2 linked regions of the Sus scrofa genome follow. The protein of the gene in region 1 purifies or fractionates together with the protein of each later gene. This does not show direct contact. Links are inferred from orthologs where the notes say so. Each region holds a gene or a part of one and is shown on either strand. Other genes may lie near its edges.

Region 1 (4,251 bases):
AAGGTGTTTTACAGGCTTTGCCACGGTCAGCAGGCAATGGTGTGGATGACTTTATCTTGTACTTTTTTGCTGTCTGGGTCTTCTCATTTGTGGGTGAAGTCTTTCTAAAATAATCCAGAATGTTACTGGATTTTGGTGGAGAGAAAACCCTGTCTCCAGTTTTCCTGACTGGTGATAAATATTTTGTAATTGTTTTACAAGAAGTTCTGTCATCATCTTTCCTTCGCTTCTTGCATGCCTATCAATTTAAAAGAAGGAAAAAGCACTTATTTCAAGCAAAATACTACAAAACATAAATTTTATTTTATTCTATTGTATTTTTTTCTTTTTTAGGCACCCCGTGGCATATGGAGTTCAAAACATAAATGTTAAACATGGATCTATTATTTTATGTAATGGGACAAAAAAAGGAAGCTTCCCTTAGTTGATATACATGATATACTAGGGGGAAAAAGAGCTTTAGGAGTTCCCATTGTGGCTCAGTGACAATGAACCCGACTAGTATCCATGAGGATGCAGGTTCAATTCCTGGCCTTGCTCAGTGGGTTAAGGATCCAGTGTTGCTGTGAGCTGTGGTGTAGATCACAGATATGGCTCAGATCTGGCATTGCTGTGGCTGTGGTGTAGGCCAGTGACTACAGCTCTGATTCAGTCCCTAGCCTGGGAACCCCCATATCCCGTGGGTAGTCCTAAAAAGACCAAAAAAAAAAAAAAAAAAAGAAAAAGAAAGAATGTGTGACATGAATAGGCAGGCAACTTAACAGAATGGACACAAAAACTAGAAAAGGATACATGTATATTTAAGACTTTGGTATATATAAATGTAACAATAGTTACACTCAAGTTAGTGGGCAAAGAAGTTAATACATAGCATTGGGGCAAATTTCTAACCATTTGGATAAACATGAGGCAAAAGAGAGACAGATTAAAACTTTACATCTTAAAATGAAATGGTAAATGTATTAGAAGAAATGCTAATGAGTTGTTAGTATTATTATTATCCTGAGATGGTACCAGAGGCTCTGGAGTCAAGCAGATCTAAGTTTGAGTGCTGGCTCTGAAAGCTACCAGCATGGGACCCTAAGCAAATTACTTTTAATTTTCTAATTTATTTTTCTACCTTAATTCAACTTTTAATTCTTAACTTTCTCTCATCTTTAGAATACAGATAATAACACCTCAACACAGGATTGCTATTAGGTAAAATAATGTGTATAAGGCCTTTACTGTCACAATACTAAACAATATTTGGTGCCCTGAAATAGTACTCTAAGCAGGGCACCAAAAGAAGAAATTGTAACAAAAAGATTCAGAAACTGACCAAACAAAAAGCAAGAATTGCGTAATTCAAGTTATCAAAAATTCTTCACACCCAAGACAAACCCAGCAACTGCCTTGATCCAGCAAACAAGCATCTGCATAACAAATATTAACAAGAAGGCAAAAAGTACTCAATTCTATTTATTTATTTTTGCTTTTTAGGGCCGCACCTACAGCAAATGAAAGTTCCCGGGCCAGAGGTCAAACTGGAGCTGCAGCTGCCAGCCTACACCACAGCCACAGCCATGCCAGATCCTTAACCCACTGAGCAAGGCCAGGAATTGAACCTGCAACCCCATGGACACTAGACAGGTTCATTACCACTGAGCCACAACAGGAACTCCCAAAAGTACTCAATACTAAAAAGTAAGAAACAGTCCCAGTTCAGTGAGTGAACCTATGTCTTGGCTCACTTCAATGACACCAGTATGCATATGTCAGTTACAAGGCTAGCTTGGGATGAAAAGGTGTGAAAATATAGCAAAATTGTCTACTTGATGATACTCCACTACTTTATGACATTAGAATCTCTTTAGTGCATTTCACTGAAACTAGAACACATAAGAATAAACAGCATACCAAGCTGAGACTTCTTCCTGCAGTATCTTAAGTTCTAGAGCAATGAGAAAGTGATTTTTAAATTATGTACCTTGTTTGATTCCTGTAGTGACACACCAAGTGCTATTCCTAGCACAGGTGGGTGGACAAAAAGATTCTTTTCCACGCTAAAGTTCTGTGATTCCTTATCCAGACTTGACCCTGGAAGACTCCATGACATTTCACTAGTCCAAATTATCAAGTTTCAGGAACATTTCAGGATCTATAAACTGGTCCTTAACTAGGCCCCTCAACATCCTCAATCCTAATGTTTATGGGTACCTACCGCGGCTTTAGGACACACTCCAGCGACTGTTCCACCCAAAGACACAACAAAGGGGCCTCACCAGGTCCCTTCTTTCCCCTCATAGATCCTAGATCAGAACCCTCTTTCACCCACCTCCAACAAATAGAGATACTCAAGCTCACCTCAATCTCGTAATCCCTCACCGGAGGGGTGGCAGCTGCAGCCGCCATGGCCAGGACCCCACCATGCTCCCTGCTTCCCGGAATCCCAGCTCCTAGGACCTTACGCAGCCCGGTCCGACCTGTCTGGAGGCCATGGAGGCAGCCTGCTCCAACGGGAGCAAGAAGCTGGGCCGCGGGGTCTGCCTGGAACCCCCCGCGTCCACCGCCCGGGTGGTCGCAAAGGCTGGGCCGAGAGCTCAGCTGACTCGAACGCGGGAAGAGGTGGTGAGAAAGCGCGAAGAGGACCCTGTAGCGCGGTCGGTGGGGGGTACCTCCAACGAGGACACTCCAATTCCGACGTCGGGCCCAGGACCTCGGAGGGAAAACCAGGCCAAACGTAGACCCAACCCGCGGGCTTCCCAGGGAATTCTTGTCAATTGGGTTTTCGCGCCGTCCGGAGCGCAGGGGGCGGAGCTTAGATCGCTTCCGGAGGCTGCGCGGACGGTGAGCCGAGAAGGCCAAAATGGTTCTTAGGCGAAACTGCCGGAGGCGGGATTATTCATTTGGCTCTAAACGTAGCTGGGATCGTTGTTTTCCGCAACCGCTCTGGTCGCTGATGAGTAGCGGTTCGATCCCCCTGTCGGGCGCAATAGGCTAAGGATCTCGCCTGGCCGTAGCTGCAAAATACAGAGTATGTGGGGTACGTCTCAGCTGCGGCTGGGATTCCATCCCTGGCCCCGAAACGTCCATATTCCACCTGTTCGGCTGAAAAACAAGTAAAAGTAACGGAGATTTTGGAGATTCAAACTCCTCACCCCAGTTTCACGGATGAGAATGTGATTTGACTAAAGTCCGTTGGTGGCAGAATTAAAACCCTAGACTTTTGACGACCTAGACTAGTCCCATTTAAGTGTAAATTCGAAAAATACAGGAAAGGGAATAGCTGTTGATTACACTCCTTCCACACGACTTAAAATGTTACTTTGGCAAGCGACCTACCTCGCTACCTACTAGGGGTCCGAGAATTGACCTTTACCCCTAATTGAGCTCAGGAGGCATTTTTTCCCATGGATTTCGTCCTAGCAAGAAGCCAGGAGCCCAAGTTCATGGCCTCAGCTGGCTGGCGTGTGTTCCAGCTGTCGCAGGGTACCTGTAGTTTGCTAGTTTGTAGTGATGATAATCTCATACGTCATTTTCATTGTTTTCATGAATTTGCCTTACTTTGCTTTTTTACATTAAACTTGCAATATACAAGAGTATGTTTATTTTCTTTGAGTCCATAGTTTTATCTGCAGGATATGTAAGGGCTGAAACAAAACAGGTAAATGTACCTATCAAATATTAACGGGAAGCCACCTTGTTAGGTCGGGTTATGCAAACTGATTTTAACTGTTCACATTATTGTCTGTGTGTATGGTTTATGTCTGGACAACATGAAGGGTACAAATTTTTCCGATGAAATAAATGGTAGTTACTTTTCCTTTGAAAATTATTTGCCTTGGATGTGGTTTTTAGGGAGATTGCACTAAATATAAACTCTTTTGTTGTTATGGTTTGTTTTTTTAATAACCCACTGGGTATGGGAACACCAACCACTCAAGGAGGAGGGAGAGGAGAATGAGAAAAAGGAGGAGCAAGAGCAGGGAGGAGGAAAAGGAGGAAAAATCAATTAGAAAATTACAGAAAAAAATCTGAAAGTGTCCTTGATTTCCACCCCAAAACTCAGTCTCTTCACTCTAAAGGTAGCCAATATCACCTATTCCGTGGATACCACTGCAGCCTTTATTAATACTTTTACGAACGTATATGTATCCATAGAAAAGCCTTTCATTTTGTCTTCCTTTACATGAAAGTTAGCAATATAGGGGCGTTCCTGATGGTCTAATGGTTGGGATTAGGTGCTTTTACTGCTTTGGCCCTAGTTCC
Region 2 (3,971 bases), on another chromosome or scaffold:
AAGTTTAAGCAATACAAAGTATAACAACATTTGTCTTACACCATTAACTAATGCTAAACTAAATAACACTCCCAACCCTTAGATTAGGCTCTGTGCTTAGTTCACTAATCAAAAGCTGGTCTTTTTTTTTCTTTTTTAAGGGCCACACCCACAGCACATGGAGGTTCCCAGACTAGGGGTTTAATCAGAGCTGTAGCTGCTGGCCTACACCACAGCCACATGGGATCTGAGCCACGTCTGCGACCTATACCACAGCTCATGGCAATGCTAGATCCTTAACCCATTGAGCGAGGCCAGGAATCAAACCTGAAACCTCAGGGTTCCTAGTCGGATTCGTTTCTGCTGCGCAATGACAGGAACTCCTCAAAAGCTATTCTTTGATTTATACTTTTCTAATTAATCAGGCCAATGCCAGGCAGGAATTTTATTTCAGATTATGTTATCTACTGTATATTATACACTAGGTTTCATATTCAAATACCTGCAGGGGCCAGGCAGAAGACAAGAGTGAAGAGCAGAATGTAAGGCAAGAGGCACTAGAAAGGACTATGAAGTAAGGAATGTATGACTTTACCAAAATGAGAAGCAGTACTCATGTTCATCTAAGTGCTGTCAGGTGAGAACCTGCATCTAGTGCTGCATCTCCTGAGAGGCTGAAAGTCTAGATCTTTTCTCTTGTATAATTTATTTAAGATTCTAGATTTTTATGTGAAATTTCCCATTTTTAAAAGTAGTGTTGGTGCCAAATAACACTTATGAAGGCATTATTCGGCTTATAAGTAATCCTGCAATCCTTTGATAATAACTGAGGATACACCAGAGGTTTCAACCACTTGTTAAAATATCATTTAGGAGTTCTCATTGTAGCTCAGCAGGTTAACATCCATGAGGATATGGGTTCGATCCCTGGCCTTGCTCAGTGGGTTAAGGATCCGGCGTTGCCGTGAGCTGTGGTGTAGGTCACAGACACAGCTCGGATTTGGCATTGCTGTGGCTGTGGTGTAGGCCAGTGGCTGGAGCTCCAAATTGACCCCTAGCCTGGGAACCTCCATATGCTTCAGGTGTGCCCCTAAAAAGAGAAGAAAGAAAAATGGTCAGAGAAGTAATTTATGAACTATTTTAATAAAAACACAAATGTTCTTACTATTTTTCCACCCATGGGACAGGTTTGGCTTTCTTGTTCTCTCCACTACTTCTGGCAGTGGCAGCTACTCCTCGATCCTTGGTCAATGGTGGTTTAGTGCTGATAGATGTGCCTTTTAGAAACGCCTGCATGGTTACTTCACCCTGACCAGGTGCGAGACAGAATAGGAAAGTTATCTTGAAACCATTATGAAGAAGTACAACTTGAAAGCACACTAAACTTTGTACAAAGATATTCAATAAATACTTGCTAAATAAAGGACATCACCCAATGACCTAGCATCCTCTGAATGCACTGTACTGAGGGCTAGAGGGACATAATGGAGGCCAAAGTGCTGAAGGAATTTAAAATTTATTTATAGTGAGCAAGCTATAGAATAAAGATAAATCTTATGACAAAAAAAAAATTAAGAGTTCCAAACTTCTTGGAATGGCTTCAACGGACAAACTGCACATGGGTTTCTCCAGACCCTTCCAATTCAGTCATGTGCCTAGCTCTAGCTCAGGCTCGGGAGTGGACTCAGCAATTAGGAGGAGCATTGGGACCCCAAGTTGGAAACTCCATTTCTTTGGGGTCTAGAGCTCTTACTGAAGGGCCTATTTTACTGGCAGAGCCCATGTAACTGCCTTTAGAAGCTTTTTTGGGGGGTGGGGGAGGACATGCCGATGTTAAAGTGGCAACAGCTGTTTTTCTGATAACAGGCTCATCTGGAGAAATCTAAACAGTGCAGAAAAGCGTGGGGAGTTTTAAAAATTCACACAAAATCTCACCCAGAAGATAAGCAGTATTAACATTCAGGTAAACATTCCTCCCAGCAACACAAGGCTGTTTTTAGGACAGCTCATCTCAAAATACCCAGCATTAGCGGCAATTCCTTTTTTTTTCCCACCGCTGTACCCTCAGCGCCTAGAGCAGTGACTGGTAAATAGTAGGTGCTCCGTAAGACTGGTGACTGAATTACCATTTATGAGACTCAGTTTCCCCCTCTGTAAAAAGAAATTAAGGCTCATTCCACAAGGTAACTGAGTCAATTCAAAGAATTGTGCACACCCAGTTCTGTGCTTGACACACATCAATAAACAAACTGGTAATGTCTGTAAACAACTAACGTTTCTAACATTCTTGAATTACTCCATCCCCGCCACAGGCTGCCGAACAATAATAACGCCCAAAGCAGGGCTCTGAGTGATGCTGGATTGAGCCACCGTTACACCAAACAGGGCGCAAAGGGTAGAAAGTGGCGAGGCTGGAGCGCTGGTCCAGCCACTGTGAGCACTTTCGTCGGGCGGTGGAATAACAGCACAGGGGCGCCGAGGGCGAAGTAGAGGAAGGCGAAGGCAACCCTCGCAATTCCTTCGGCTGGTCACCTGTTCTCCCCGGCTCCCCTCGCGTGTTCCCTCCCAGGCACTGCCTGGGCCTTTCAGACTCTCGTCTTCGGAGCGTGGACGCCGCCGGCTCGTTCCTGGGGTTTCCCGGACAGAGAGAGGGCCTAGGCGGTCACGGAGTCTTAGCTGCGTTCCCCAAGCCGAGAATGTCAGGCCCAAGAAGCCGAGGGCCGCCAGACTCAGGGCAGTTAGAATCGCCGGCGTCAGCAAGCCGCCCGAGTTCCCGCCAGGAACAGCCAGCGAAGGGAAGGGCGGGAACACGCCGCGCGTCACGCGTCACTTCCGGCCCGCCGCGCGCGCCCCGCTTTAAGGGAGCCGTTTCCTCCGGTTCCTGGTAGTTAAGCAGGTCAGAGGCAGACTTTCAAGGTTGCACAGGCTGTACAGGAATGACGGTGCTTCATCCTGTCCCCGCGCAGCCCTCGGACTGGGTTTTTATAGTAGAGAAAGCCGAGTAGAAGCCTGTGAAACCACCTTCCCCGCCCCAGCCAGGATGGTAAACCACAAACAATGCCCTATGAAGTGGTCTGGCAAATAGTAGTGCCACCTCCCCTTAAACACTGACGTAGGCAGGGATAGTGGTCTTTATCACATGCCTTTTCTGTTCATCGCTGTGGCCCCTATAGAAACTAGATATACAATGGAGGATAGCAGTGGGTTACTGTAAACTCAACCAAGCAGTAGCCTCCCAATTACAACTGAACCAGATACAGTGTCTTTACTAGATCAGATTAAAATGGCTTTATATATTTTGTTTTGTCTTTTTAGGGCCGCACTCATGGCATATGAAGGTTCCCAGGCTAGGGGCTGAATTGGAACTGTAGTCGCTGGCCTATGCCACAGCCACAGCAACGTCAGAACCGAGCCGCGTCTCCAATCTACACCACAGTTCAGGGCAATGCCGGATCCTTAACCCACTGAGCCAGGCCAGGGATCAAACCTGCGTCCTCATGGATCCTAGCCAGATTCGTTCCCGCTGAGCCAGGATGGGAACTCCCTAAAAAGGACTTTAGATATATAGTATATGGCTATCAATCTGATAATGTGTTCTTTTCCGTCCTTATTGGAGGACAGAAACAGTTCACATTACCATAGGACAGGACACACAATACACTCACAGTGTTGCCCTCAAGCTATGTTGAATCTACCCTTGGCCATAACATAGTCTCAAGGACCTGGGCCATCTGGACATTCTGCAGAAGATCACGGTGTTTACTATATTAAATGATAAAATAAGAAGTGTCAAATACACTGGAAGAGTAGATAAGGCACATGCATTCCAGAGGACAGAAATAAAGGCTAGATGAAGATTCAGGGAGTTACCACATCAGTGAAGTTTTTAGAGATCCAGTGACTTGTGGCAAACTGGAACATACCCTCTGATCCCCACTGAATAAGTACAAATTATCTCACATCCCACACAACGAAGAAGAAAGCATGATGCC

The links. Proteins that work in one complex are often made in the same cells at the same time.
Region 2: the proteins of ATAD5 (region 1) and RFC4 purify together in Homo sapiens (affinity purification with mass spectrometry; 5 studies listed by BioGRID and IntAct, counting the BioPlex papers as one, with this or other methods). This does not show direct contact. The link is inferred for Sus scrofa from reciprocal best matches to the Homo sapiens genes ATAD5 and RFC4.

The regions. Positions count from the first base shown.
Region 1 is NC_010454.4:42,917,636-42,921,886, forward strand, and holds the start of ATAD5 (ATPase family AAA domain-containing protein 5), read right to left. Parts: upstream 2,804-4,251; 5' UTR 2,395-2,803; coding exon 2,347-2,394; intron 239-2,346; coding exon 1-238. UniProt on the Homo sapiens protein: Has an important role in DNA replication and in maintaining genome integrity during replication stress.
Region 2 is NC_010455.5:124,601,617-124,605,587, forward strand, and holds the start of RFC4 (replication factor C subunit 4), read right to left. Parts: upstream 2,806-3,971; 5' UTR 2,512-2,805; intron 2,276-2,511; exon of another isoform or gene 2,254-2,275; intron 1,291-2,253; exon of another isoform or gene 1,288-1,290; 5' UTR 1,276-1,287; coding exon 1,145-1,275; intron 1-1,144. UniProt on the Homo sapiens protein: Subunit of the replication factor C (RFC) complex which acts during elongation of primed DNA templates by DNA polymerases delta and epsilon, and is necessary for ATP-dependent loading of proliferating cell nuclear antigen (PCNA) onto primed DNA.